Arabidopsis thaliana: one gene and its partner. The protein of the gene in region 1 interacts with the protein of each later gene in a biochemical or structural test. Each region holds a gene or a part of one and is shown on either strand. Other genes may lie near its edges.

Region 1 (15,871 bases):
AGAATTATAGACAATTGGTCAGGGTCAAATGATTCTAAGTTCTTAATCTTGTAACCTCTTTCAATGGGATACTTCAATCGTAAGATGAATCCGCGATATTCAGCTACGTTGTTTGTAGCTATTTCCTAGACCTTGATGCAGTTTACAAGTCTGATTGGATATGGATGCAGAAACTTCACTTCATTACAAGTTTTCTTAACATTGTAACGATAACTTCATACCACTCTTCTGTTCTTAGTTTTTAATACTGCTCCTGTGTCAGCTAGACCTGGATTTCCCTTTGATGAACCACTAAACTTTATAAAGCATGTTTGCTTTCTGGTCTAGAGTCACCTATGAATACTGTTGTTATACACCCAAAAAAACACTTATGGATGTAGGCTTCGGATTAGCGAGCTCTTTCAGGGAAGCAACTGGACCAGGAAGCTGAAGGATGTTCGTCCAGTGACGCAAGAATTTGATAGACATTATCTGGCTCGGAGGAGGTCACACGAGAGCCTATGCTCTATCAGAAATATGTCTCATATTTGTTTTGAACTAGAATATATGATAGATGCAGTAACCGCACTTCATTACAAGTTTTCTTGAAGTTGGAACAGTAACTTTATTGAATGAAACTTCAGCAAGAAAAAAAACATATTATTGAATGAATTCATACAACTCTGGTTAGAGTTTTCTCTAATCCGAAATTGAAACCGATTAAAAGCCGAGTGAAAATCCGGTTTGTATTACCTGCCAAGTTTCAATTTTTAAGTCTGAAAATGTAGTTTATGAACGTTGCTGTCTCCACAAATTGATGAAGATGTAGAAAGAAAAAATAGCATTTCCCCACGTAACGTTATCACCTATTCATGTAACACTTTTATAAAAACAAATCGAAGATGGCTCACTACTAGCAGTTGATGAAAGATTATATCAAAATTTGATCACTTGTTAATGATATCATTCATCATTGTTTGAGGTTGAAGCAACTTTAGCCGCATACTTGACTAAGACGCCAGTTAATAGAGCCTTCTCCTTCACCTTTAACCTGTGAATCATAATTGTCGAAATCAATCAATTTGAGTAGAGATTCTACATTGATTAGCAAAAATTGCTGTATGCTCTTTACCTCTTTGATGATCCAGGGATTTCTATCTTTGTCCCCTTTTTGGCTTGGCCTTTCACAAGAATCTTTGTCTTCTTCTTTTTCTCCTTCTTCTTTCCTTCAACTCTAGCGGGTTTTGCTTCTGGTTTATCAAAGCCAACTCCTCCACCCAAGAGTTTTTCTTTACCGAGAAGCTTTTGCTCTAGCCTACGGATTCTATCTACTCTATTTTCTTCTGAGGATGACAATGAACTGTTCAGAGGTTCAAGATTGTCTTCAGCAACTTCTTCTTCATCATCCCCATCAAGTTCATCATTCAAGAGTGTTTCTGCTACAGCTTCCTCAGATTGTTCATCATCCAAGTGTGTTTCCGCTGCAGCTTCCTCAGATTTATTCACCTGGAATGAAACTAAAGGTGTCTCTAGTTCCTCATGTTCTCTTATCTCTCGCTTCACAACTTGTTTCTCAAACTTTAACTTGGTATTCGAATCACGTGTCATTTCAATGGGAGAAGATTCTATGCTACTAGAGATATGATTCCGCTCATCGTCTTCCACTTCTCTTTCATCTACCTCTTCTTCTGAATCATCCGATTCTTCCCCTGAACCCAACAAAACCTCTTCTTCAACAACATCAGCACTAGAATCTCCTTCAAGACCAGAATACGGAAGCTTCTGCACCTTGAAACCGTTATCTAAGTACACTTCCTTCGATACAGAATCATCAGAAGTAAACTCCACAACCTGACATTTGATTTGCTTTATAACCTTCCCAAATGCTAAGCTCTGTCCCGTGAACTGTTTCACAAACCTAAGAGAAAAAAATCAAAACTTTGCCTCATTACCACTTAACTATAAACACCACAAGTCTCATACCTGTTTGCATCAATCTCAGTTTTGAAATCAACATGAGCAAATCCTTTACACACAGGATCCTTAGTCTTCTTATTCCCAGACACAGCTGGTGTTATACTCAAAACGCCACTTACTTCTTTAAACGCAACCTTAAGATCTCTATGAACATTCTTCTTCTTAGGAAGATTAGTCACACGAACACGAAACCCAATTTGAGTTTCTCCAGTTCCTTTACAACACAACAAAGCTAAATAAGATTCCAAACTATAACTCAATTAACAAAAAAAAGAAGAAAAGACGAAACCTTTGAGGAGATTATCGTCACGCTTAAGCTGTTGAGACTTGAGAGGATCATTCTTAAGCTTATTGAGATTAGCAGCTTGAGCTTTCCAACTTTGCTCAATTTCGTCGAGCAACTTATCTTCAATTAAAGTTTCGTACTTTTTACCTAAACCAAATCCACGAGGCTTTTTCTCTAACCATTTCTTCATCTTATCCATTGGTAAGAACTCTCCTTCATCTTCTTCTTCTTCTTCTCCTTCATCTTCTCCATCAAATTCACCCCAATCTTCATCATCTTCTTCATCATCATCGTCTGACTCCACAATAACGGAATCGCCACTTCTACGCTTGTTTACAGCGAATGAACAAAACCCATTACTCCTTTTTTCAATAACTTCTCGAAAGCTCTGTCGAATTCTATGAGAAATTGAGATATACTTAGACGTAGTACGCGCAGAAGAAATCAGATACACAGAACAAGAAGAAGAGGATGACTGAAAACGAGAGAGAGAATGAGAATGAAGCAAAACGGAGTTGCAGAGCGAAGCTCCGTTCATAGCTATGTGTTTTCTTTTCGTTATCCTCTTCTTCGCCGGAGAAGAAACTGAGTAGTCGCAACTTGCAAACAAAGCGACTTCAAAGAAATCACATAAATGGGCCTCTTACGGCCTTAATAAAAAGCCCATTACTTTGGAATACGATCCATTAGACCCATAAGTTACTTTCTGGCCTCAATCATACTCTGTCATAACTTGATGTAACACCATAAATGATATGTTTGCTTGCTTACATTTAGCATGACTGACCAATAATTTATATGGAATCGTACGTAATGGATTTTATTGAAATATGTATGAATATGTGAGACAACATCTTTCAAAGGTCCCATGTTTTTATGAACTTCATGGTCATATTGATATACACTTTTTTGTGCTAATACTGTTTTGATTAGCTGTGACAAATCAAAGGACCCAGCTCGAGTCATGAATGGAAGTTGTGAGAATTTATCAGGAAAATAAAAAAAAAGACAGAACAAAAGCTGAAGATAATAAGAATTAAAAAGTAATTTGTAAAGTTAAAAAAAAATAAAAACAGAGCAGAAAATACAAAAATGCTAGGCTGTGTGTAGACCCAATAGAGGGATGGGGATTAAGCTTTGTATATATTTACGTGTCTATTTTGGAAAATGGACCATTCTTGATTTGAAGTCATTAGATCTCTTCTTCTCAATGGGACCATTTCTTCATCCATGTTGGTCCGTTACACATGTGTGTGTTTCTGTAGTATAATACGTATCTTATATATACTTATAATCATACGGTTTATGACTTTTAGATTTTTTTGGGTTACACTTACATATATATGTCGTCTTAGGATTTGGTCTTAAATATCACCAACGAATAATCAATCTATAACTTAAGTAGTACAATGAGATATAAAATATTTATATCATTGAAATAAATGCAACTATACGTTAGTATTATATAGTCAAACATGCGCAAGACTTTAACATTTTAATAGGCTCCCTATGATTGTTGTTAATTAGTCTTCATAAATATTTAATGTTAGGTTGAGTTGGCCTACACTATTGAGTTCTAAAGTCAGTCAAAAGTCAATACAATATAGTTTTTCTGGTTGCTATTTCTATCATCTTTTCGGAAGTTTAGTAACTTTACAACTTTGAGGATATAAACATGTTTAGATAATGTCACTTATACACTTATATACTATATAGATTGAAAGTTTGAAACCACGATAGATATCTATAATTCTATATGACTAAGAAAAAGAATTTTACATTATAGAGTTTTTCATTAAAGAATAGCCTCAGTCTGTCAAGCCGCCATAGTAGTTAAATGATCTCGACTAAAGTTAATAGCTAAGATATAGACCAAACTAAAAAACTTAGTGGATAGTTAGATAAGCAGCAACTTAGGCACTATAACAATGATAATAACTACATAAAGCTTTTGAGTGTACTGTGTACATAATAAAAATTTGTTCGCAAATAGGTGCCTATATATTATCAAAACAAAAAGTGAGTTTATAAGATATGCTTTGGAAACAGAAAAAAACTTGATTTCCCAAAATTAACGAAATAATTCACATTTAGGTTGAAAAACGTATATGTGATTCATTAATTATTGGGGACACATCTTCACTTCTATATTAAAAATAGTTTCACATGTTTTGGGCATATATAGACGGTATACAAATGTAAATACTAAATATAACTAGATAAAGTCAAAGAATAGGATGTACTATAGTCGGTTTTTAACTAAGTGTTTGAAGTGATATCCTCTTAAATTTATTACAGTCATATTTTTCAATGTAATATCCTACGAATTCCATTTTAGGCTTCTTCTTGTTTTCATCAAAACAGTCCTCAGTTTTTATGTTTTTTTTCCTTCTATGCATGTCCCATTATTATTAATATTTTTGGTGATATGTGGTGTATGTCCCATTATTATGTGTTTTAAGTACGAATTATTTTCGTACCATTTAACTTTTTATATAGTTTTGACGAAGTGATAATATGATATAAAATGAGAAATACATGAACCATCGAAAACTATTTCCTTAAACTCTAAAGGAAATTAACATAATATATAAGGATGATTGAATTTTTACATATTTACATATATTTTTATGAGAAATATTTTTTCCATATTTAATGTATAGAAAAAATAATTTTAATACCAAAATTTGTAATTATATTTTTTTTTTTTTTGTATCGTTGTTATGTTATTACTTTTTGTTTTAATGTTAGATTATTACTAGGGGCTGGTTTAAATCCTCATCTTGTTTAAATTATAGTTTATGTATTTATTACGTATTATATAAACACATAAAAACAAACTAACTGAAATTAATTGTTGACGTGGAAACATATATCTTAGAGAAATGATGACATGTGACTGAATTTGATCGGAGCCTGTATTCCACTAAACAAGAAAGATAAGGAGGTTACTTAAACAAAAGAAGAAAGAAAAAAGAGAATCGAGACTAGCTAATAGAATTATTTGTAACAAGGGACAGAAATCGTGGTATAGCGAGTCATAATCAGCCAACGCCGACCAAAGTCCAAAAAGATTAAAGATGAAAAAAGGGTCCCTTTGAACATTTTTCGTGTGCAAATCTCGATGGCAACTCGTATCAGATTGTTTAGAACTAGTGTGTAATATTAATTTAGAGGAATATTTTCCTAGCTAGGTTTTTTATTTTTGGGATTTTGCTTAACTATACACTCTAATAATAAAAAGTTTGATTGTGGAGATTGTGATCAATATTATGGAGATTGTGAAAACTGAGCTATAAATTATAGTCAAAAGAAACTCAAAACCATACATTTTTATATTAACAGCTATTTTGCTATGGTTATATGCTTTTTTCAATCCATGCAAAATAACATGTTTTGGAGATCATTTTTTTTTTTTCCAAACAATTCAACCTTCAGAAACTAAATAAAATTACTTCAACCAAGACCAAAGTGGAAATGAGAAAGCAATGATCTTTAGTTACTGTGTGCACAGTGTATGTGAAAAATGTCACTATTCATCACTCATCATGCAAGTGCTTGTTGATATGTTTGATTAGAGACTGAAAAATGTGAAAAAGTTACAATTCATGTTGTTATACATAAAATTGGAGTCTGGCGAAAAAATCGATCAATGATCAGTGTATGAATATTATATAGGCCTCATTATCATTCCATTGAAATTGGTAGCTTCAATGATCTGAGTTCACCGATTTTTCAATGTTTTGATTATTCATTTTCAAGTTCTCCTTTAAAAAGAGGATTCTAGAAATGTTTCCTAAAACTAACTCAATGTAGAGAAAAAAAACATATATTGCTGAAAATGACTCGACCCACTTGTTAACTATTCATTATATTTCTAGTAACTCAACATGGACTCATGATCATCATTGTATATAACAAAAAAAAATGCATTATTATGATTACATATGCAAGAGTATATCAATAGGGTCCGAGTTGACTATGCTACAGGAGAACGAAAAAAAACATTTCTTAACGAGTAGTATCAATTAATGTGACGATGATAGTATAAGATCATGTCTAGTGATATCATACGTACCATATAATTAGATCTGAAATAACCATTCAACAACGATCATTGACTATAAGGCAATAGCTCCCATGAATCGTCTTGATTTTCTTTAAGAAAATAAGACATTAACAAAAATGACGAACCCTACCACGAGAATGTAGTCAGTCTGATAAATTGTTGTAGGTTGGGAGGTGCATATTTTCCCTCCTTTCAAATTTCAGTTTCTTGACTTCATTAATGTTAATATAAATAAACATATACTGCATGATAAAAATGTTAATTTAACTGTAAATGTGAATGCAAATCTGAATGTAAGCCATATGTTTTAAATATTGTCTACCTAAACAGAGAAATGAATTAGTAGCCCAACCTAGCCATAACAAATAAATAATGAAGAAGGTCTTCTTCCGCCGAAGATACCAAAAATATATTATCTTCTATTTCAAAAAGTATCCCATTTGTTTCTAATTTCTATGGTACAATGTAGTTGTTGAATTGTAATTTTCTCAATGTTAATTTCGTTATCTACGTAAGCATTGTCAACTATTTACATAGTACATACAAGTGATAGTTATATATTAGCTCTTCCATAATTTTTAATTCTTATCAATATGAAAATATTGACAAATTTATACAAATCTGCATAGAAAACACATACAAAACAAATATGAAACAATGTTAAAAAAAAAAAAAAATATGAAACATTTTTTCTAATACACCTGAAAACTAAAATAAGGGGTAAATATATTAGAGGTAAGCGAAAAATCTACTACAATCTAAACCGAGATCATCCCAATGGTATAATTAAAGTCTAAAATCTAAATCGAAGGAGCAAAGTATTTTGTAAGGCACACGTGAAAGAAAGTAACTACGGGAGTGATTAATAAAAACGGGCCAATGATTTAACACTTTTATGGCATAATTAAACCAAGAAGGGACCAAATAAATATGACATATTGATACAAAAAGGAATGTGAAGAAAATCTCCGGTTCTACGAAAAGGACTTCCACTACTCTTTCCCACACGCTCCAGACCACTGTTTGCTTTCCTCTGATTAACCAATCTCAATTAAACTACTAATTTATAATTCAAGATAATTAGATAACCAATCTTAAAATTTGGAATCTTCTTCCCTCACTTGATATTACAAAAAAAAAACTGATTTATCATACGGTTAATTCAAGAAAACAGCAAAAAAATTGCACTATAATGCAAAACATCAATTAATTACATTCGATTAAAAAATCATCATTGAATCTAAAATGGCCTCAAATCTATTGAGCATTTGTCATGTGCCTAAAATGGTTCAGGAGTTTTACATCTAATCACATAAAAAGCAAACAATAACCAAAAAAATTGCATTTTAGCAAATCAAATACTTATATATATACGTATGATTAAGCGTCATGACTTTAAAACCTCTGTAAAATTTTGATTTATTTTTCGATGCTTTTATTTTTTAACCAATAGTAATAAAGTCCAAATCTTAAATACGAAAAAATGTTTCTTTCTAAGCGACCAACAAAATGGTCCAAATCACAGAAAATGTTCCATAATCCAGGCCCATTAAGCTAATCACCAAGTAATACATTACACGTCACCAATTAATACATTACACGTACGGCCTTCTCTCTTCACGAGTAATATGCAAACAAACGTACATTAGCTGTAATGTACTCACTCATGCAACGTCTTAACCTGCCACGTATTACGTAATTACACCACTCCTTGTTCCTAACCTACGCATTTCACTTTAGCGCATGTTAGTCAAAAAACACAAACATAAACTACAAATAAAAAAACTCAAAACAAAACCCAATGAACGAACGGACCAGCCCCGTCTCGATTGATGGAACAGTGACAACAGTCCCGTTTTCTCGGGCATAACGGAAACGGTAACCGTCTCTCTGTTTCATTTGCAACAACACCATTTTTATAAATAAAAACACATTTAAATAAAAAATTATTAAAACCTCAAAAAATCTCTGTTTCTTGTTTATATATCCAAACAAATGAATGTGTTAAACCTTCACTCTTCTCTCCACACAAAATTCAAAAACCTCACATTTCACTTCTCTCTTCTCGCTTCTTCTAGATCTCACCGGTTTATCTAGCTCCGGTTTGATTCATCTCCGGTTATGGGGAGAGAATGAGGAGTTACCGTTTTAGTGATTATCTACACATGTCTGTTTCATTCTCTAACGATATGGATTTGTTTTGTGGAGAAGACTCCGGTGTGTTTTCCGGTGAGTCAACGGTTGATTTCTCGTCTTCCGAGGTTGATTCATGGCCTGGTGATTCTATCGCTTGTTTTATCGAAGACGAGCGTCACTTCGTTCCTGGACATGATTATCTCTCTAGATTTCAAACTCGATCTCTCGATGCTTCCGCTAGAGAAGATTCCGTCGCATGGATTCTCAAGGCGAGCCTATTCACTTTTTTTCTCTACCTCTCATTTTTTTCAATGCTAAAATACGCCGCCGGAGAGTGTGTAGACGCTAAAATACGCTGATCGAATCGTTACATGCAGAGAATCTTTTTTTTTACAGTAGTGTGGTATTGTTTGGTTTACAGGTACAAGCGTATTATAACTTTCAGCCTTTAACGGCGTACCTCGCCGTTAACTATATGGATCGGTTTCTTTACGCTCGTCGATTACCGGTAAATGTTTTAAAAACGTCAACGTTAGTTAATTCTATTGTCTCTGTTTTTTTATTATATTGATATGACAAATAACAACCCCAAAAAGTCAGTTTTATTTCCCTTTTTTTTTTTCAATGGATCGATTTGTTTATTGACTTTTCTTCAGAAAAAAATGAAAACGACTAAAAATTTATTAGAGCAAAAAATTATAATCGGTATAGAATAATTTAGTAGAAATTAATCTTATATTGGAATGTACGTAAACGATAGAACAGGAGCGGGCTGGGGAACTTTTTTTCGTTTTTTAATTATTTTATTGAAATTTATATTTTCGATAAAAAATTACATTGACGTTTACATAATAATAGTATACTTTTGCAGTAAACTTTCCACTTCATATATCGGCTTTATTGAAAACTTTGTAATCATAGTGTTAAAACGCTCCTACTACTATATAATATTTTAAATTAATTTTGTAATTAAACTTAATAGAGTATATAGTAATCAATGATTATATTAATCAGCTTTAATTTCTGTAAAATAGGAAACGAGTGGTTGGCCAATGCAACTTTTAGCAGTGGCATGCTTGTCTTTAGCTGCAAAGATGGAGGAAATTCTCGTTCCTTCTCTTTTTGATTTTCAGGTAAACATATATTATCATTCTTTCTTTAACATTCTGAATTTACTCTGTTTTTTTAAGAAACTTTAATTTATGTATCTCTGTATAATGTAATGTAGGTTGCAGGAGTGAAGTATTTATTTGAAGCAAAAACTATAAAAAGAATGGAACTTCTTGTTCTAAGTGTGTTAGATTGGAGACTAAGATCGGTTACACCGTTTGATTTCATTAGCTTCTTTGCTTACAAGATCGATCCTTCGGGTACCTTTCTCGGGTTCTTTATCTCCCATGCTACAGAGATTATACTCTCCAACATAAAAGGTACGTAATATTTGTATGATATATGATCCATAATGTCATTTAGGTAGCACATTTTTGGGTTGGTTCTAACACATGACCAATTAGTACAGAAGCGAGCTTTCTTGAGTACTGGCCATCGAGTATAGCTGCAGCCGCGATTCTCTGTGTAGCGAACGAGTTACCTTCTCTATCCTCTGTTGTCAATCCCCACGAGAGCCCTGAGACTTGGTGTGACGGATTGAGCAAAGTAGGATTTGTTATATCACGTTTAGATGGAACAAGGGAGTAACAGATTGCTAATTAATGTCTTTTGGTTATATTTGACTTTCAGGAGAAGATAGTGAGATGCTATAGACTGATGAAAGCGATGGCCATCGAGAATAACCGGTTAAATACACCAAAAGTGATAGCAAAGCTTCGAGTGAGTGTAAGGGCATCATCGACGTTAACAAGGCCAAGTGATGAATCCTCTTTCTCATCCTCTTCTCCTTGTAAAAGGAGAAAATTAAGTGGCTATTCATGGGTAGGTGATGAAACATCTACCTCTAATTAAAATTTGGGGAGTGAAAGTAGAGGACCAAGGAAACAAAACCTAGAAGAAAAAAAACCCTCTTCTGTTTAAGTAGAGTATATTTTTTAACAAGTACATAGTAATAAGGGAGTGATGAAGAAAAGTAAAAGTGTTTATTGGCTGAGTTAAAGTAATTAAGAGTTTTCCAACCAAGGGGAAGGAATAAGAGTTTTGGTTACAATTTCTTTTATGGAAAGGGTAAAAATTGGGTTTTGGGGTTGGTTGGTTGGTTGGGAGAGACGAAGCTCATCATTAATGGCTTTGCAGATTCCCAAGAAAGCAAAATGAGTAAGTGAGTGTAACACACACGTGTTAGAGAAAAGATATGATCATGTGAGTGTGTGTGTGTGAGAGAGAGAGAGAAGAGTATTTGCATTAGAGTCCTCATCACACAGGTACTGATGGATAAGACAGGGGAGCGTTTGCAAAAGATTTGTGAGTGGAGATTTTTCTGAGCTCTTTGTCTTAATGGATCGCAGCAGTTCATGGGACCCTTCCTCAGCTTCATCATCAAACAAAAAAAAAATCAAGTTGCGAAGTATATATAATTTGTTTTTTTGTTTGGATTTTTAAGATTTTTGATTCCTTGTGTGTGACTTCACGTGACGGAGGCGTGTGTCTCACGTGTTTGTTTTCTCTTCAAATCTTTTATTTTGGCGGGAAATTTTGTGTTTTTGATTTCTACGTATTCGTGGACTCCAAATGAGTTTTGTCACGGTGCGTTTTAGTAGCGTTTGCATGCGTGTAAGGTGTCACGTATGTGTATATATATGATTTTTTTTTGGTTTCTTGAAAGGTTGAATTTTATAAATAAAACGTTTCTATTATATGAAGGAAAAAGTACATTGAACTCAATAATGGTCGTGGAGAAGGTTAATAGCTACGTGAGAGGATAATATGAGTAGTGGTGAGATTTGATTTTGGTGTGGCCTGTGGGAGCACGAAGCATGTGAACATGTGTGTTGTGGATCGAGTGTATGTTTTATTGAACGACGAACGTAAAAAGACAAAAGAAAATTGTATTTGTTTAAGACCAAAAGAAAAAAAAAAGTATTTAATGTTCAAAATGTAATAACCTTCCTCATTTTTGCCATAATTAAACACATTTCTTTGTTTTTGTTTTTTTGGGCAAAAGATTAAGGGTTTTATATACCTATTTTAACAACAGTAAATATACAAAAGAAAATCAAATTATGAAAAAAACAAATTACAAAAGAAGTAAAAAATAGTGGTTAATTTCTCTCTTGATTTTAGTAAAGAGGAACAATTAATAGGAGCAGTAGCATACATGTGATGTTGATCTGTCTCCATGTCAGAGAAAGTGGTCTCACCACGAAACCATAACGTAGCTACACCGTTCTATCTCTCTCGAACCCCTCAAACATTAGCCACACAAAAATACCATCTTTGACTATCCATTTATATATGTATGCACACGATTTTACAAGTAAAAAAGGAAATAAGAAGTGAAAGAAAAAGAAAAAAACTTACTGCAAAACAAAACATTTTACAAAAGTGTGTTTTAATCTTATAACTAAGTTGGTTTGTGCCGACAGAAGTGCACCCCACGTCGAGAAAATGTCTCCATCCTCATAATTCTAGTTGATTAGTTTAGTAATGTGATTTATTTATTTTCCATCGACGACATTATTTGTTCACCCTCCAATGAACTAATCACTCGTCTCATAGTCATATGCTTTATACTAATCATTTACTTATCTATCGGATTACAACGTTATCTACTTTCTATAAATCCTCATGACGCTCCTCTTCTGTTTATTTATTATTTTGGTTTACCTCACTTTTCCCATTTTTCAACCATACACTGATAATATTGACATAAACAAATTTTAAATCCAAATATCAAACATGCACTGTTACCATTTTGATTCCACTCAAATGTACGTAAGGAAATGTGTTACTGCTTTTACTCTCGTACTAGTCACTATTTATTAACTTTTTCTTTCCTTTTACAAAAGGTTGGCATGGTTTTGTAAAATTCATGACATGAATTATGAATATAAATGGTATGTTGTAAGAGCAGAGCATCAATATGACATGACAACCTGAACGTGAACCAGATGGAGTTATAAATAAATACGTACAAGATAACTATTACAGGAATATAAATACAAAATATCTTTATAAGAGAAAGAATAGAAGCTTCACCCACTACTATTTAATCTAAAATGATGCAAAAGTAAAGAGAGAGTATGGTTAGGTGATTAGCAACTGCTAAATGCTAATTATAAATAAATAATGACCAGCCCACACATTTGGACATATTAATCATCGGGGGATTACCTTTATCATTGTTTATTAACTTTTTATTTATTTTAATTCTCTTGCGGGTTTTGATTAGGACACACGGGGACACAAAGGGACCTAAGCTTATATATCAGCGTATAAAGACAATCATCTTTTAATTACTATCTTAATTGATCCTTGTCCTGTTATTTGGTACACGCGTTTGCCATTAGTTGCATACCTTTTTGTATCATACACTTCACGAGCACTTGGTTTCTCAAACAGAATATACATTAATTTTCTTATAGAATAATGGATAATGACAACTAATGGGAATGGGGTAGAGACAAAACAATGAAATTATATGACAGGAGTTGCATTCATTTTAATTTATAGAAAATGGGCAGATTTATTAGTATTACTTTACATACACATGTAGTCATGTAGATGTATATGAGTTTGTATCGTGTATATAAGCGCATGTAGATCATGTGGATATTAGTAGGAATAAAAACAGAATATATAATACGCATATTTTTAACCAAATCGCCTATTTATACATTCGTATTTCATAGCTATTTTGATCATTTCTTCATAATTATACACTACGTACATGTTACCATTACATGCAATCTATATCAAACTCACGTTACTCACCTCTCCGACTACTAATCAAGTACGTAATGGGATTTAATTATAAGCACATACAAAAGCATATTTTAACATTTGTTCTTAAAGCGAAACAGAAGAAAAAAGAAATGCGAGGGAATATATGCTAGAACATGTAGAAACAAAGTTTGCACATGGATTCTTTATTTGCCTTTAATCTTTAGAGAAGAAGATACACTATATATTCATTAAAATAATCAAACTTTGGATGCTTGAAAAGTAGAAAGAATTATAAAGTGATATATGAGATGATATTTAGTGAAGGAATCATTAAAATAAAAAATAAAAGAAAAGAGAGAACAGAGAAGAATCAATGGTGGCATGGCCCGACTCGTAGGGCGTGAGAGAGTGAGTGAACTTAGTTTCTCGAGGGAGCGTCTCTCATTTGTATTTTACTTTAGAAAAAAAATCGTGGGTTTGCTTTTTGTTGTTTATGGTCACAAACCAAGATTTAGTCACTATTGCACTTTCATATCTCTAGTGGACAACGACGTTTCCTCCTTCCCAAAGTCCTTTGTTTCATCATCAATCACTCTTTACCTAACCCAACCTATTCATGTTGTTTACAAGGACACTCGCACACACGTGTGACCGAAGTTCGAACCATATAACCAGGCACAGTTAGAATATAGTTTCGATTCTTTTTGATTAATGTAAAAAGAGTGTAAGGAAAAAAGAGGATGAACGTGAGAGAAAGGAAATGAGCATAAAAGAAAACCAATGAGCATTGAGCACAGTGACTGAAAGCAATAAAGTAAGATTGTAAGTTTTTTTTCAGATTGAATTTTTTTTACAGAGACTTCAGCAAAGGGATGAAAAAGTAGAAAGTAGAAAGCGAAAGGCATTTTTTTTTTATGGGGGCGAAAGCAAAAGCGGATTAGAGAGGAGAAAGCTTTGTTTTAGTTAAAGAAAGACAAAAAGGAATGTAACACTCTTTTAGATTTGACATTAAAGAAGCTTGCGAATGTGACTTTGTAGGAGCCATATATCAATAATACATTGAATCCACATCATAGCTATAAATTAGTCATTTCTCTAATCACCATGCTTAATAAGATTTTCAATATGGGCATTGTTGTGATTTGGGCTATGACTTGGGAAAAGGCTAAAGACCCATTTGTAAAAAGTCGGTGACTTCACAATTTGTAGATCAAGGTCTTAGAATTTCACTATCCTAAGTCTTAACTAGTCCAAGCCATCCATTCACTAAAGCTTCAAGTCTCAAATCAGTGTAACAACAACATTCTCTGTGTTCTTGTCAATGTCAACACCAAAATTAAATCTCTGCAACTCAAAAATCTCTAAATCTTCTTCTCGTGAATCGAATTTACACATGGTATCACATCTAGGGTACTTCTAGGGATAAGAGACTTACGCTATTGCTCTATGTTCATTGAACAACTCCTTCAATATCCTCAGGTGTCACTGAGTTGCAACTTCTTTCTCTCCTGCCCCAGCTGTGACACAACAAAGAACTGTATAAATATGACATGAAACGCAAATATTACATTTATTACTTGGTATTGACACTTACCACATGCTTTACTCGTTCATTGACCATACGGGGTCCTCCATAGACACAATCAGAATGATAAGGGCTACGAATAAACACATCTCCCATTACCAGCATTTCTTTGTTCACCCAGCGTATAGGAAGCCTGGAGAATGCAGCATCACATAACAATGAATAAAAAAAGAGTATATGCTAAAAGTCAATAGAATGATTATCATCATAAGCATAAAACCATTTGTCACCACGGTTCTTAGATGCAAAACAGGGAAAACTCAAGGTCCACAACATAAGTAGCCTCTGACCATGTCGAGTTTTATATAATGTAACTCACCCCAAGGTAGCAAAAACTACATAATTACTTTCTTTGACAATTTTACTCCATTGTAGCTTATACTTTCAGCAATGCCATGACAAGTAGTCCAAGTGTCCAACATAAATAAACTCTAGTAAAGATTTGTGACTTGATAGCAGCAACAACTGAAGCATAGCTAAAGACACAATTCGTCAAATATATAGTCCCAAAAAGCTTGCATCTTCTAAAAACCACAAGCAATAAAAACGCTATGCCATGACAAGTATGAAAACTCTAGTAAAGATGTGAGATATGATGCTAATTTACAGGCATTTTCACAGTAGCAACAAATGAAGCAAAGCAAAAGACACAATCAACCATAGCGCAAATATTAGTTCCAAATAACTTACATCTTCTGGAAACCAAGAACAATACAAACACTAAATTGAATCCAGATTCAAAAACTAAACGATTCACAGTTACTTATATAAGCAAGCATCTGATCCAACCCTCGTTGCTAACAGAAACAAAGCACAAATCTGTTCACAAAAAGTAGCAAAAGCAGTAACAATGTAAGCTATTGTTATCTTCTTCACACAAAGAACTAACAAAAACCATTAACAAGATTTCAAACACTACTGGATTGTATTAAAATCATCATCATCATCCATTCAATATAAAGAACCAAAGAGATCCTTACGTCTTAGAAATCGCGTCAAAGAT
Region 2 (15,871 bases), 2.3 Mb from region 1:
AATTCTTTATTCACCTTTTATTATTAATGGTTTGGGCCGTTTGACTATAGTTATCGTAATTACAAATAAGCCCTCCAATCATCAATGTTCGATTGTCATTTCACGTTTTTTTTTTTAATGCGGCATTATCCAAACTACACTCATCAAACATTTGACTTTAGAAAAAAATATTATTTTCTTCTCATAAGGTAGTTGAGATAAGCACAATGCAAAGCTGACCCCTTTTACCTACTCCTTTTGTTGTTCTAGGTGTTCACCAACTTTGATGTCCTTTGTATCATCATAATCTTATGCTTTTATTATATACTCCTACTCTCATCGTAATATCAAAGCTTATTGTTTTTGAGGTCTTATCACACTAGGCCTATATTATGAAAATAACAATTACCATTAATATACCTAATCCCATCGATACTGACTGATGAAATTCAGTTGGTAGATCTTTAAATAATGACAGGCCTTTCCTACGGTCAACAGAGTAAATAAGAAGCCTTATTAAAAGCCCAAATCAGGTCAAATAATAAACAAATCCATTTTTTTAAAGATCCATGTGCATAATAAATATTTATTTTCGATGGGTAGTTTATCAATTATCAGGCAATAATAATACTTGGGGAAGAGGGAATGAGAGAGTCGTATCTTTTACTATATGTTTGCCTTTATTCCTTTGTAATTACCATGTAAAAGCATATCTCCCTATTGAATGCTATATTCCCCAATATTTCCATCTTCTTTTTTTTTCTCTCGCTATTTCCGTATTTACCCTTCACCTATCCTTTGGTGCTCATTCACTCTCCCTTTTAGCATATCATCATATCCTATTTTTTGCTTTTATTTTTTCTTAGTTTGAAAGTTTGGTCGCACTTAGGTGGGGAATTTGTCAACTCAAACTAAACCAAAACCTAACCGCATTTATAAACTAAACTTAAAACCAAACGTACACTCATACAGTTCGATAAATTTGCAGTCTAAAACCTTTTAAAACCCATAAAATATGAACACCAAACCGAATTAGACAATTTGGTCACTAACCAAACATTACCAAACCGAAAAAGGTAAGGGTATATATTTATATCCAATGGCATTTTCGTAAATAACCAGAATAACAAGGGCTGATCGAGAAAAAGCGTGGACTGAAAGAAAAAAAAGAAGAAGACCAAATTTTGGCTGTTTGGTTGATCGTATCGCCCAAGTCCCCCGCATACTATATAAATACTTTTGACGGGCCAAAGGAAAAAACTTTCTCTGAATCTTCTCTGAGTCTCTCTGACACTCTCACCAACCTAATTTCTCACAAAAACCTAAAAAGTTATCGCCCATGGATTCAGATTTCGGAATCCCCAGAGAACTCTCTCCTCTTCAACAACTCCGATCTCAGTACCACCCTGAGCTTCCTCCTTGTCTCCAGGTACTTCTCCTTCTTCCTTTTATTTGTATATTCGTATCTTCCTTAGATCTCTTGCTTCCTTCTCTCGTTCACTGTCTCCAATGTTTGGATCTCTATGTTTTTCATTGATATCATCTCTTCTGCTGTTTCGTTTTCTCACAATTTCGTCACGTCGCGAATATTTTGAATCCCTTCGAGCTGTTTATTTTGATTGTCTACTCGAGGAACTTGCAATGTTGTTTCCGTTCATGCAGATCTGTTTACACTGTTATTATAATCGGGATCTAGGGTTTATGATCCTTTTATACTTACTCGTCTGATTTAACATTTCAGTTTAGTGTGGTAGGTAGAATTGCCTTTCAACGTGAACTACCATGATGGAGTGATTTTCTGGAACAGTGATTGAATCGTAGTTTTTTTTTTGGTTGGATGATTCGTAGTTTAATTCGTTATTGATTCAATGTACATTACAGGGGACTACTGTCCGTGTTGAACTTGGTGATGGAACCACTGTGGCAAAGGCTGGTGATGCTCATATCATTGCCCGTGCCTTCCCACATACTCTAGGCCAGCCTTTGGCTCATTTCCTCAGGGCAACTGCTAAAGTTGCTGATGCTCAGATCATTACTGAACATCCAGTGAAGAGGTGTGCATGCATCTGCATATTTATAGATCTCTGGAATTTCTTGTTCTGTGGTTTTGTTGTTGGTTAGAGCTAGTTGTTTTCTATTGTAGGGTCGGAATTGTGTTCTGTGGAAGGCAGGCTCCTGGTGGGCACAATGTAGTTTGGGGTCTATACGAGGCTCTCAAAGTGCACAACGCGAAGAACACTTTGCTTGGATTTTTGGGTAAGTCCCTGTTTTTTATCTGTTAGTTGGTTTTCTTATTTCTGTAACTTCATTGTTTGCTTACTATAAAGTCACATCTTACTTCCGTATTGATGTGTGCCTGGTCATTAATATGAAACTTTGGCTACCTGTAACAGGTGGTTCTGAAGGTCTCTTTGCCCAGAAGACCCTGGAGATCACTGATGAGGTCCTCCAAACTTACAAAAACCAAGGTTGGTGGTTGGTGGTTTGATTAAGATTATTCAGAACTTTATCTCTGCTGCTTTCTGACATATGGCATTTAAATGTATGTCGTATTAGGTGGCTATGATATGCTTGGAAGAACCAAGGATCAGATTAGAACAACCGAACAGGTCAATGCTGCACTAAAAGCATGCACGGATTTGAAATTGGATAGCCTAGTTATCATTGGAGGTACCTACTTTTCCTCTTTTTCGGGTGTCTGTTTTAGTAGATGTTTTGTTCTTAACTTGTGTAAATATGATTTTTTAAGTTCATCCCAGAATTTTCTAAATCAATGTTTTTATTTGTTAGGTGTAACATCAAACACAGATGCCGCTCATCTTGCTGAATTTTTTGCTGAAGCAAAATGCTCAACAAAGGTCCTAATTTCTTCCCAGTTTTTCTCTTTCTTTGTCTGATCTTGTATCATGAATCACTTTAGTGACATTTGCACTTCACCTGATATCGCTAACAGCAGAAATTACCAATATGTTTCAGGTAGTTGGTGTTCCGGTCACTATTAATGGAGATCTTAAGAATCAGTTTGTGGAAGCAAATGTTGGTTTCGATACTACATGCAAGGTAACTTTGAAATCTAGCGCTTTTTTTTCTTTTACTTTGTAGGTATTGTAGCCAACATTCTTTCATTTCGCTCACCGTTCTTTTCAGGTTAATAACATTTTAACTCGTTATTTAGACTAATATCATTCTACTGTGTACAGGTGAATTCTCAGCTCATTAGCAATATCTGCACCGATGCCCTTTCAGCAGAGAAGGTAAATGTTGATTCCTTCCAAACGTTATCATGTTTTAGAAAGATTGCTAGGACACTCATAACCAACCTATATTTTGTTGGTTAATAATGTGAAATTTATTATGGTTTGATAATTGCGAAGTTGGGTTCCTTATGATTCTGTTATCAAATTTTCTTCTCAATAACATACTTTCCTCCGTATTGCCAGTATTATTACTTTGTCCGTCTCATGGGTCGGAAGCATTCACATGTTGCCCTTGAGTGTACACTTCAGTCTCACCCCAACATGGTATTCTTCCAAATTCTGAATATATTCAATCGATAGTCTTGGCAATGCTGCATCTAGTTTCTCATTTGCATTTGATGCGATTGTCTCAGGTGATACTGGGTGAGGAGGTTACAGCATCTAAGCTCACAATATTTGACATCATAAAACAAATCTGTGATGCTGTTCAAGCAAGAGCCGAACAAGGTCTGATAACTAAAACGAGCTTTTGGTATGTTGGAAGTGATGTCTTTTGCTTGTTCCCTAACTTTATTGATAAACTGTCTATTTGTATCAGACAAAAATCATGGAGTCATCCTAATTCCTGAAGGGCTTGTTGAGAGTATTCCTGAACTCTATGCTCTGTTGAAGGTAACGATTCAATACTGGCAAACATTTCTATTTATCATTTAATGTGCTATTTTTTATTGTTTCTTGAGTTCCAAAACATAGTAAGCATTTACATGTTGTTGTGCGATGCAGGAAATTCATGGATTGCTTAAGGAGGGTGTGCAGGTTGATAATATTTCTACTCAGTTGTCATCTTGGTCATCTGCTTTGTTTGAGTTTTTGCCTCCATTCATTAAGAAACAGGTTCTAATTCTTTGACATGGTACTTTTCTTTGTTTTTTCTCACATGTAAACGAGTATGTGTTCTTATGATAAATTGTCTTCTTTGTTTCTGCAGCTACTTCTCCATCCCGAGTCTGATGATTCTGCTCAGCTATCCCAGGTAAGAAGAAAGAAAATGATGGAGTTACTGTGCTATAAAAAGTTGGAATTCTAATTGCTCATTTACTTTCTTCTTAGATTGAGACGGAGAAACTTCTGGCTTATCTTGTGGAGACTGAAATGAACAAGCGCTTGGTATGTTGCACATCTTTTTCACTTGTCACAATCCATTTTTTTCAAATTTTTTTGAATAACCTTGCCTGAATATTCAAGTTGTCCCTAAAACTAAGTTTTGAAAATGACAGAAAGAAGGAACCTACAAAGGGAAGAAATTCAACGCTATCTGTCACTTTTTTGGTTACCAAGCTCGTGGATCTCTTCCATCAAAATTCGATTGTGACTACGCCTATGTATGTGATCGCCAAACTAAAATGCTATTGCAACTTCAATATTATGGACATTCACACCATTGATTATAACTTTGATGCAGGTTCTTGGACATGTATGTTACCACATCCTCGCAGCTGGTTTGAATGGTTACATGGCGACAGTGACTAACCTGAAGAGTCCTGTAAACAAATGGAAATGCGGGGCTGCGCCTATCTCAGTTGAGTTTTGTCTCTTATTTATAAGGCTAAAGTTGTTTAGTATATGTGTTGATTTCTGACTTCAAGTTTCAGTTTTACTGACCCCAATCTCTTTCTCTGTTTAACCTTAGGCAATGATGACGGTTAAGCGTTGGTCCCAAAATTCTGGTTCTACTACGATTGGTAGACCTGTAATTCATCCAGCTTCAGTTGACTTGAAAGGAAAAGCATACGAGTAAGCTTTTGTTCCTCACTCATTAGACAAAGATTAGAATGAACATGAAATCAAGTGATATAATTTGTCAAATGATTTTGCAGTCTATTGAGACAAAACGCGCAGAAATTCTTGATGGAAGATATGTACCGAAACCCAGGACCAGTCCAGTATGATGGTCCAGGTGCAGATGCAAAGGCGGTAAGTCTGTGTGTAGAAGACCAGGATTACATGGGGAAAATCAAGAAGCTGCAGGAGTATCTTGATCAGGTGAGGACGATTGTGAAACCGGGTTGCTCTCAAGATGTTTTGAAAGCGGCATTGAGTGTTATGGCCTCGGTGACTGATGTTCTCACTACGATCTCATCTTCTTCCACCAGCGGTCAGCAATTTGCTTAAAGATTTTTTTATTGTTTTGGTTTTCCCTTTAACCATAAACTTCATTAGCTCTCTCTCTCTCTCTCTCTTTCCATTTTGAAGTCGTCTTCTGATTTACGCAAACTTTATTGTTCAAAGTTGAGTTTAGGAAAAGGATATTCAAAGTTAAAGGATTTGAGTAATGCTTTTTTAATGAAGAAGTCTGTGTTTGGGTTCACTAATCTTCTTGTTGCCTTCTCGATCATAATTTGTATATGGTGCGACCAAATCAAAGTACCTACGGATATATATGACAAGTGGACACAAATGAATAAATGTAAAAATTAAAATTAAATACTATAGTACGTGGCAAATTAAAAAAAGGCGTTTATGAAAAGACCGCTCCTCCACGCTCCAGTTTGAATTTCGAAAAATCAGTCCGTTGTGAAAGCCCAAGAATAAGGATTCTATAATTTCAGGTCTCATTTAATTATATAACCTATCTACACTTTGATCTCCGACAATTCACTTTCCCAATAAGAACCAACTGAGAGAGAGAGAGCGCCGGAGAAGAAGAATTTTAGAGAGCGATGGACGAGGGAGTTATAGCAGTTTCCGCCATGGATGCTTTCGAGAAGCTTGAGAAAGTTGGTGAAGGGACATACGGGAAAGTTTACAGAGCCAGAGAGAAAGCTACCGGGAAAATCGTCGCTCTAAAGAAGACGCGTCTCCATGAGGACGAAGAAGGCGTTCCTTCCACCACTCTCCGCGAGATCTCCATTTTGCGAATGCTCGCTCGTGATCCTCACGTCGTCAGGTTAGGGTTTTACCTCTGATTCGATAAAATTGCCCCCATATTCTCGATCTTGTAGTCGCGTTAGGGTTTATATAGTCGATTTCTCACTATCTCGCTTGTTTTCCAGATTAGATAGATCTCAATTTCAAATCGTAGTAATCAGTTCGAAGAGTCTACTAATTGTTAGATGATTTGGCTCTGAGAAACTGTTGATAGATGTTTCCCTAGAGTTTGATCTGGATCGCTGTATCAGTTAGTTTTCCAGTGATTGCAAAATCAATTATATACGGAAACTTTATTTGTCATCTTTTTCAGGTTAATGGATGTTAAGCAAGGACTAAGCAAAGAAGGCAAAACTGTACTGTACCTGGTTTTTGAATACATGGACACTGATGTCAAGAAATTCATCAGAAGTTTCCGTAGCACTGGCAAGAACATTCCAACCCAAACTATCAAGGTTTTTAACCACCTTATTACTGTCATCTCTCTTTCTCGCTTCATTTGTGCTCACTTGAACCAAACATAACATTCTGAAAAGTTATTTGCAGAGCTTGATGTATCAACTATGCAAAGGTATGGCATTCTGCCATGGTCACGGGATATTGCACAGGTGAATTGTTCTCTGGCTTTCCCTTGTTTTCAACTTCTAAGTGAGAATGATTTTAGATAATAACTTGGAAGAGAGATTTCTTCTTCTTACTATTTCTCCTTGTTTCAAAACAGAGATCTCAAGCCTCACAATCTCTTGATGGATCCCAAGACAATGAGGCTCAAAATAGCAGATCTTGGTTTAGCCAGAGCCTTCACTCTGCCAATGAAGAAGTATACCCATGAGGTAATCAATGTTTGACACTGCTTCTTGCACTTATCCCACTTTGTATGTATTGTAGAACTTATGGTTTTGAATCGGTTGTTCATTGCAACAGATATTAACTCTTTGGTATAGAGCTCCAGAGGTTCTTCTTGGTGCCACCCATTACTCTACAGCTGTGGATATGTGGTCTGTTGGCTGCATATTTGGTATGTGTTCTTTTCAGACTCGTTGATTTCACTAGTCACTGCGATATCATCTTAAGTTACTAAACAACAACAATTAACATTGTTCCTTCACCATTTACAGCTGAACTTGTGACCAACCAAGCAATCTTTCAGGGAGACTCTGAGCTCCAACAGCTCCTCCATATTTTCAAGTAAGTCTTTGTTGATTCTTCACCTTTTACATGACAAACATAAGAAAACCTTTTTTCATTTTGCCGCTCTTTCCGGTGTACAACTCAGGTTGTTTGGGACACCCAATGAAGAAATGTGGCCAGGAGTGAGCACACTCAAGAACTGGCATGAATACCCACAGTGGAAACCATCGACTCTATCCTCTGCTGTTCCAAACCTCGACGAGGCTGGAGTTGATCTTCTATCTGTAAGTCTAAAGTTTATTAACTAGCTACCAAAACAAACTCAACAGACGAACTAATTGCGTTTTTATCTTCCTGGAACAGAAAATGCTGCAGTACGAGCCAGCGAAACGAATCTCAGCAAAGATGGCTATGGAGCATCCTTACTTTGATGATCTGCCAGAAAAGTCCTCTCTCTAAGGATTTAAAATCTTCAGTTAGTATCTTTCCAAGTTTTATGGTTTTTCTAGTTTTGCTTCTTTCAAGCATATCTCTAGTGTGCTGCTTCCCCCTCTATGAATCATCCTTTCTTTAGCATAATATATCACTTCTGATTGTTGTTTCTTTCTATTCGAATATTTGGATTAACGGCTTTAATGTTCTTAAGACTATTCGCAATTATAATGATCCAGTCATCTGGAAGTCTAAGAATAAGTTCTTGAATAAATGGATACATATAACAAGATCGAGTGTGGGGATTTATGTCACAAGCCACATGAAGAATGTTGGCCAAACAGTGAGTGAAACTGCAGCCAAAGAGTAAGTCCAAAGCATAATCACAGAGCATTCACTCTCCCCAGCGCCGAATAATTGGGTCTTTGTACCTGAAAAGTAAGGGAAACTAGTGATGTATCTTATCTGAAAGAAGTAACTGTATTTTAAGGAGTTGGTTTCAAGCCATGCACCTAGATTCATGGCTGGTGGGACAGCATACTGAAGAAGAAGAACGAATTGGTACAAGGGTTCTGAGGTTACTAAATCCAACTTGTATGCTCCTCTCACGAGTAAAACACCGCTTACAGGTAGCAAAATGTAACGAGCTACCAAGACGCCGATAATGCAGGAGTTTTTCATTTCTGAACTCCTCACTTCCGACCTCCTCATTCCTTTAAGTAAGTTTCCTCCAAGAATCAGGGTCATAGCAGGAATGGCCCCATCTCTTTAGCCAAAAGAAACAAGACACAGAAAAAGTGAGTTTTTCAAAGAGATGAATCATTTGTTGAGCTACTTCTAAGATAATGAGACTATTCTACAATTACCCCAATAGGGTTAATGAGTCTTGAATCACACGGAAAGGAGCTACGGTGCCGATTATTAGGTTCCTTAAAGGAGTAATAAGCCCAATCACAAGCGCGATAATCTGAGAAAACAGAAGAAGAAGAGATAAGAAAGATATACACTAGTGTGAATGTCTTGAATGTATATAAAAAAGGTGCCACTGAAACACAAACTGCAGCAATAGTTGCTGGAGCAAATATTGACCCAAGGTTGACTTTCTTTGACAGAGAAACAACTCTTTGCTTGACTTCTTCCCACCTCCCAACCTGTCAAACACACACAAAGTCACTGCCAAAATGAATAACACTGATGATGATGATGAAGAGTTGTTGATTAATGAGACCTGATGGTTGTCTTCTTCTTTTTCTTCTTCCTTGGAAGAAATTAGTTGGACTTTGCAGCTGTCATCATAGTTGGATTCAATAGAGTGTGTGTGTGTTTCAACGGGAGAGTTTGATAGCACACGCATAAGATTTATATATAAGTCCATGAGTAAACCGTTCCCGCCTGATACATACCAATTAGTGTCATGTTTATACACACTGATAAAAAAAGCCTTGAAGAGAGACAAGAGAGGAAGAACTAACAGTCATGGACAGTGTAACATAACCCATTCCGTATTTCTCGCAACTCTCAGAATCTCCAAAGGGACCTCCTTTCTCCTTGCAAATGGCTGGGATTATAATGAGAGGCATAGTCCCCAAATTCCCTGTTTTTGGTTTCATTCATCATCACATTCATAAGCAAAACATACGATACAAAGAAAGACAAAAAGATTCTAAAATCATGTCAAGGTTTGTACCAGAAGCACAACAACTAATGATGAGACCACGAAGCTGTGAAGGAGGCTTAGTTATGACAATAACAATCCAGCCGAGTAACGAACCAATCATGAATGTGAGCAGAACATTAACCGGCATAAACCACCTGCAATGCAAATCCTCATTTTCATTATAACAAGTGAGCTTAAAGATGATGCAAAATTTGATATTGACTTACATTTTGACCAAGCTTTCATATGTAACACTATCAGCTAAGCGGCTTCCAATAAGCGAAGGACTAAACACATAGAAGACAATCTATACACAAACAAAAGAGAAATTTAAGTTAACTCTTTTAGATTATTTGTTAAAGAAGAGAGTTAAAAAACGGACGTTGTTCAAATGTTTGCGAGCATCATGACCAAGAAGATTGACTGTGTCGAGAGCCAAATAAAATCCAACTGATGTTATCAACAAAGTCTCCACAACTGGTTTCGATGAAGCTATGAACAACTCCAAAAGCTTCATCTCTACTTCCAAAAGTTAGAATCTGCAAACTTAATCCATATATTACATGATTTGAGATAAAGAAACAATGAACCAAACGACGATAACTTATGGAGAAATCAAATGAAATGGTATAGTTACCTTTTTAGAGGAAGAGTGAAGGAGAGATATAGAGTAAGTATTATTTTTGTTCCGTATGAAAAAACCAACGTATCATAACCACCAACTCTTTATCTGAGAAAAAAAGAATACAAATTATAAGGGAACCATCGTCATGCCTTTAGTCACAGCGACTAGGAAACGTGCCATGTTACTTTGTGGTTCTTGCTGAAGATGTGGATATGTCGCATTGTGTTTACCGTATGGTAAAGAACAATAACGTTGATTTTAAAAAAACTTCTGTTGTTGTCATCTATTTTCTGAAGAATCGTTTCATAAACTAAAATGTTTCAGTACTATAATTTTTGTTTTTCCACAGTTTCACTAGCTACAAATTTATATATTACATATAGTATATCTTGGAGTCTAGCATGCACTTTAGCCCTGATGTGGAAGGTTATACATCAAAATCTCAAATATGACGTGATGAGACATTAATTGATCTTAGAGTACGATTAGGTTTGAGATACATGGACACAGATGTAAAGAAATTTATCACAAAATCCACCAATTAGAGCTTTTTGTCACCACTCTTTTCTCTCATCATTTGTACTCACTTGACTGATATGTAATAGTCTATTAAACCAAATGTAACAATCTGAAATTTTTCTCAGGTGTACCAAACTAAACAAAGGAATAGCTTTCTGCCATGGCCACAGTCACAAGTAGTCAAGTAGATTGTTCTCTGGTTTTACCCTGTTTCAAGAGAGAATGATTTGGGTATCATAACAGAGATTTTAAGCCTCACAATCTCTTGATGGATCCCAAGACAATGAGGATCAAAATAGCAGATTCTTGATGAGGCTGGACTTGATCTTCTATCTGTAAGTTACAGACTGTAAGTCCAAAGTTCGTATCAAAAGACTTATAAGTATATGTTCTCTATTATACTTGATCCAATCATCTGGAAGTCCAAGAACAATTCTTGAATCAATGGAACAAAACAATACATGTAACATGATGAGTATGGGGGTCTATTCTAAGCTACAAGCCACATGAAGAATGTTGGCCAAACAGTGAGTGCAATCGAAGCCAAAGAGTAAGTCCAGAGCATAATCACTGAGCATTCACTCTCCCCAGTTCCAAATAACTGAGTAATTGTACCTGCAAGAGTAAGTGAAACTAATGAAGTGATCTTATCTGAAAGAAGTAACTGTATTTTTTAAAGAGTTGGTTTCAGAGCAATGAACCTAGATTCATGGCTGGTGGGACAGCATATTGAAGAAGAAGAACGAATTGGTATAAGGGCTCTGATGTAACTAAATCCAACTTATATGCTCCTCTTACGATTAAAACACCGCTCATAGGCAGTAAAACGTAACGCGCAACCAAGACGCCGATAATACTGGACATTTTCATTCCTGAACTCCTCAAACCTTTGAGTAGGTTTCCTCCTATAATCATGGTCATTGCAGGAACTGCCCCATCTCTTCAGCCAAAAGAAACAAGACACATAAGAAGCTTTCGAATGAGTGAGTTACGTTTTTCCAAGAGATGATTCATTGTTGAGCTAATGCTAAGATAATGGTCTAATTTTAGCTGCAGTTACCCCACTAGAGTTACTGAGTCTTGAAGCACCCGGAGAGGAGCTTCCGTGCCGATTATTAGCTTCCTTAAAGGAGTAATGAGCCCGATCACAAGTGCAATCATCTGGAAACAGAAGAACAAAAAGGGTAATTAGAAAGATTACACTAGTGTGAGTGACGTCTCAAATGTATAAAACAGAGCCATTGAAACACAAACCGCAGCAATAGTTGATGGAGCAAAAATTGTCTTAAGGTTGACTTTTTGTGACAGTGAAACCAATCTCCGCTTGACTTTTTCCCACCTCCCAGCCTGTCATATACACACAGTCACTACCAACTTTGATAAATGAATAGTTACTGATCATGTGCATATGTGATGAAACCTTTTGGTTGTTTTCTTCTTCCTTGGAAGAAATAAGGGGAACTTTGTAGCTGTCGTAGTTGGATTCAACAGAGGGAGGGGTTTCAACGGGAGAGTTCGATAGCACACGCATAAGATTGTATACATAAGTCCATATGTAAATAGATCCCATCTGATACGTTACCAAGTACTGTCATGAGACATACTGATTACAAAACCTTGAAGAAGAAGAAGACAAAGAAGAAGAAGAAGAAGAACTTACAGCCATGGAGAGAGCAACATAACCCATTCCATATTTCTGGCAACTCTCAGGATCTCCAAAGGGACCTCCTTTTTCTTTACAAACAGCTGGGATTATAATCAGTGGCATATTCCCCAAATTCCCTGTTTTGTTTCATTCATTACCACAGTCATAAGCAAAACACAAGTTAAACAGATTCTGAAATCAGAAACATTCATGTTAAGGTTTGTTACCAGCAGCACAACAACCAAGAATGAGACCACGAAGGTGTGAAGGAGGCTTAGTGATGACAATAACAATCCAGCCAAGTAATGAACCAATGATGAATGTAAGCAGAACATTCACCGGCATGAACCACCTGCAAATCCTCATTTTCATTAACCAAAGAGCAAAGATTACAGACTCAAGATGCAAAATCTGAGATTGACTTACATTTTGACCAAGCTTTCGTATGTAACACTATCAGCTAAACGGCTTCCAATAAGCGAAGGACTAAACACATAGAAGACAATCTATATACACACACATCAAGAAAATGATAACAAAACAGAGACATATTAAAGTTGAATCATTTAGATTTATTAAAGAAAAGAGTAAAATTAAGTGATAATTAACTGACGTTGTTCAGATATTTACGAGCATCATGACCAAGAAGATTGACTCCATCGAGAGCCATATAAAATCCGACTGATGTTATCAACAGAATCTCAACGACTGGTTTTGATGAAGTTATGAACAGCTCCAAAAGCTTCACCATCTTTTTACTATCAACGCGAGAATCTGCAAGTATAAGTTAACTGTAGCAGAGGAAACAGAGAATCAATGGAGCTGCAAGAACCGCCGAAGAAAACAGAGCAATCCAAGAAGGGAATGAATTTTTTAACCGATTTAGAGGAAGAGAGAGATTTATCGTCAGTGGTACAGCTAGATGACAGTGAGAAGCCGCCGTATCAGAACTTTCTCACTCTCTCTCTATGAAAGAGAAAGAGCGTCTCCAAAATTTGGCCTAGTACAACACTTGCATGGTCGCCTCTTCATTCTATTTAAATTCTTGTCTATCCACAAAATGCTTTTTTCAAGAAACTAATCTCTTTATTTGGGGCAAACTTAGAAACTAATCTTTTTAACTAAGGTAAATTATTATTCTATGCATATGGGAAGAGAATTTCATATTTTCATCCTACATATTTTGTATGTACAACTTGGTGTCCGCATGATCCGGGTCAGACTTTTACATCTTCTTTGTTTTTGGAATTGTTTTGTTCCGTATAAGCAACAAAATAACGTATCATAGATTCATAGTTAGCTCCTTTTTGAATTCCAACTTTCACAACTTATGAGTTATGATATATCTCGTAAGTTTATGTCCTTTGATTTTGTATATTTTCCAATTTTTTGTAACCTAGTTTATGTACAAAAAGAAAGAGGAAACAGTTCCACAATTTTTGGAAAACTCAACTCAAGCGGGGTCTTTGTTTGTTTCGTATATTGTCGTATAACACTATTGAGAATAATAAGGCTTTATCTGAGAAGACGAATTTATATGGTAACCGTCGTCATGCCTTTCGTCACATCGACTACGAAACGTGCCCCATGTTTTTTTCTGGTTCTTGCCCAAGGTGTGGAGATATTGCAAAGTGTTCATCGATTGTTGAAGATTTATTATTTATTTTATTTTATATATTTTTTTAAAAAAAACATTTTTCTTTTTGTCATCTATTTTTAAGGGGAATTGTTATAAAAATGTACATTTTCATATGCGTCGTAAGAAATTTGAAATGGAAACAAAACTGAATGAGAATAAGATAATAGTGTGGTGGCTTAAATTAATTGTGTGATGGAAGCGTACCAACGAAACGATCGAATATTAATGATAACGGAAAATTCAAATTAGTGTGTGAGGCTGCGACCAGTGTCCGTCCATAAAATTCAATGCAAGATATAAATGTAACAACCCCAATATCAAAATAGTCGACTAATTCTTACCAAAAAAAAACAATTAGCGAATAATTAGAATTATCATACAGTGCTAAAAATATGTATATATATATATACGAGATACAAATATTTAAGTATATATTGTCAAAGTGCAAATTTTAGTGATTTATTAATGAAAAATACACAATAGACTGGATAATTGTAGAAGTGGGATATATTATACACACTACAATAAAAATCTCTTATGTGACTCGAATCCTATAACTCTTCTCATGTGAAGCAAGAGATATTAGACCATCCTTAATTCCTTATATGTAAGCTTATTGTATATGCAACAAGCCTAATGAAGGCCATGTCATGAGCTATCTTCTTATTTATCTATCTTATTAGAGCATGAATAAACTTGTTTGTATAGGATTTCTACTCACACAAGAGACTTGTGAATATGTATTTTTAAAGAGGTTAATTAACAGTATTTGATATTTCTATGATCTCATAGCTATGAATATGATGATTCAAAGAACGTGAACAAAAGATATCTGTAACAAAAAGAAAAGGACAAAGATATGTCAAATTGAAATGCTCCACTCGTTTTAATGTCCGTGAATGAAAATAACAAACTTGACATATATTGAAAATCTTGATTTGTACTATTGGAAATGTGGGGCATCAAAGACTATTATTCCCTAAAAATAATGGTCCTTAATTCATTAGAATTTTGGACAAAAAGCTTTGCTTAATTCTGTACCATTTTGCTTCGAATGAATATGCTCATACTATTTGTTATCCTTTGGATCCACACCAATTCATTAAATTGCAATTATTTGTCACTTTGACAAGTACTATACCTACATACTGAGAAAATCATCATCACCATAATTGTAAAGTTAATCACGTTAATTATATGCTAGCTAGTCTATAATTAAAGATTCAAACACTATATTTTTTTGGTACAACAAAAACTCTATATTGAACATGAACGCACAATGCTTCGATATTTCTTTCTCTATCTTTAGTAACAAATAAAAACACAACAACAATCGAGACAAGCAGAAACCTACGTTGTCTTCCGTGTTTAATTGGGCCTAAGATTATATTCATAATATACCTTACATATTGAGCCCATAGTTTACAATAATGGGCTTTGTTATGTAAATGGGTCGTAAAAGTCCAACTTTCTGAAATATCATTAATAAGTTTTGCTATTAAGATCTTCGTTAAGAGTTAATACAAGTAACAAGCATTAATTTCTTTCTTAATGAATTCATGTGTTCATTATATCATCCGTATAAATCTTTTGATCTGCATATCTCTCCGTTTAATTGATATCTTTCCGTTTCTCGCTTCTTTTTCTCCGCCGGCGTCCTTCCATTTCGCCGGCTGCTATCGAACCCTAACCCGCGACGACTCCACCGTCTCCGGCGTCTTCTTCTTCCGGCGAAACCGGTAACCGTATCTTTTGTTTCTATGTATGTACTCCATGATTTCGTGAAGCTCTGCTTTCTAATGCTTTAGTCGCCATCACTGTTTGAATTATAGCGAATCAGTGAGAGAGTAGGACTCAGAGTTTTGATGCGTTCCAATTCTCGATTACATGCGTCTTGCATTCTCTCTGGAATTATCAATAGTGCGTTTCTATTTATGATTTCTGGATTTTGAATTCTGCGTTGTTGTTGTGATGCTATGTCTCAGAGAATTAGCTTCATGATGGCGGATACTGAAATGCAAGAGCAAGATGTGCCGTCTGGTACCAAAGGTGTTGTAGAGGAGCCTTCAGAACTAGAGAAAGACCTAAACTCTATTGAAAGACCTAAGTCCCCTGTTCC

What was found.
Region 2: the proteins of CYCD1;1 (region 1) and CDKB2;1 form a complex in vitro, tested with the Arabidopsis thaliana proteins (one study listed by BioGRID).

What each region holds. Positions count from the first base shown.
Region 1 is NC_003070.9:26,431,572-26,447,442, forward strand, and holds CYCD1;1 (CYCLIN D1;1), read left to right. Parts: upstream 1-7,984; 5' UTR 7,985-8,081; coding exon of another isoform or gene 8,082-8,225; 5' UTR 8,226-8,443; coding exon 8,444-8,716; intron 8,717-8,868; coding exon 8,869-8,955; intron 8,956-9,481; coding exon 9,482-9,580; intron 9,581-9,675; coding exon 9,676-9,877; intron 9,878-9,966; coding exon 9,967-10,103; intron 10,104-10,187; coding exon 10,188-10,409; 3' UTR 10,410-11,436; downstream 11,437-15,871. Other genes in the region: AT1G70200 (RNA-binding (RRM/RBD/RNP motifs) family protein), read right to left, coding at 943-1,030, 1,112-1,897, 1,963-2,170, 2,246-2,780; AT1G70209 (uncharacterized protein), read right to left, coding at 8,082-8,225; AT1G70220 (RNA-processing, Lsm domain-containing protein), read right to left, coding at 14,759-14,800, 14,878-15,001, 15,849-15,871. UniProt on the Arabidopsis thaliana protein: May activate cell cycle in the root apical meristem (RAM) and promote embryonic root (radicle) protrusion.
Region 2 is NC_003070.9:28,712,377-28,728,247, reverse strand, and holds CDKB2;1 (cyclin-dependent kinase B2;1), read left to right. Parts: upstream 1-5,697; 5' UTR 5,698-5,896; coding exon 5,897-6,123; intron 6,124-6,417; coding exon 6,418-6,559; intron 6,560-6,650; coding exon 6,651-6,712; intron 6,713-6,825; coding exon 6,826-6,937; intron 6,938-7,028; coding exon 7,029-7,122; intron 7,123-7,222; coding exon 7,223-7,292; intron 7,293-7,380; coding exon 7,381-7,519; intron 7,520-7,598; coding exon 7,599-7,694; 3' UTR 7,695-7,920; downstream 7,921-15,871. Other genes in the region: AT1G76550 (Phosphofructokinase family protein), read left to right, coding at 1,319-1,408, 1,861-2,033, 2,123-2,235, 2,373-2,447, 2,536-2,649, 2,770-2,837, 2,956-3,039, 3,180-3,233 and 10 more; AT1G76530 (Auxin efflux carrier family protein), read right to left, coding at 7,974-8,098, 8,180-8,433, 8,534-8,634, 8,726-8,818, 8,896-9,108, 9,140-9,261, 9,355-9,479, 9,552-9,631 and 1 more; AT1G76520 (Auxin efflux carrier family protein), read right to left, coding at 10,959-11,083, 11,170-11,408, 11,529-11,629, 11,723-11,815, 11,889-12,038, 12,129-12,250, 12,341-12,465, 12,540-12,619 and 1 more; AT1G76510 (ARID/BRIGHT DNA-binding domain-containing protein), read left to right, coding at 15,750-15,871.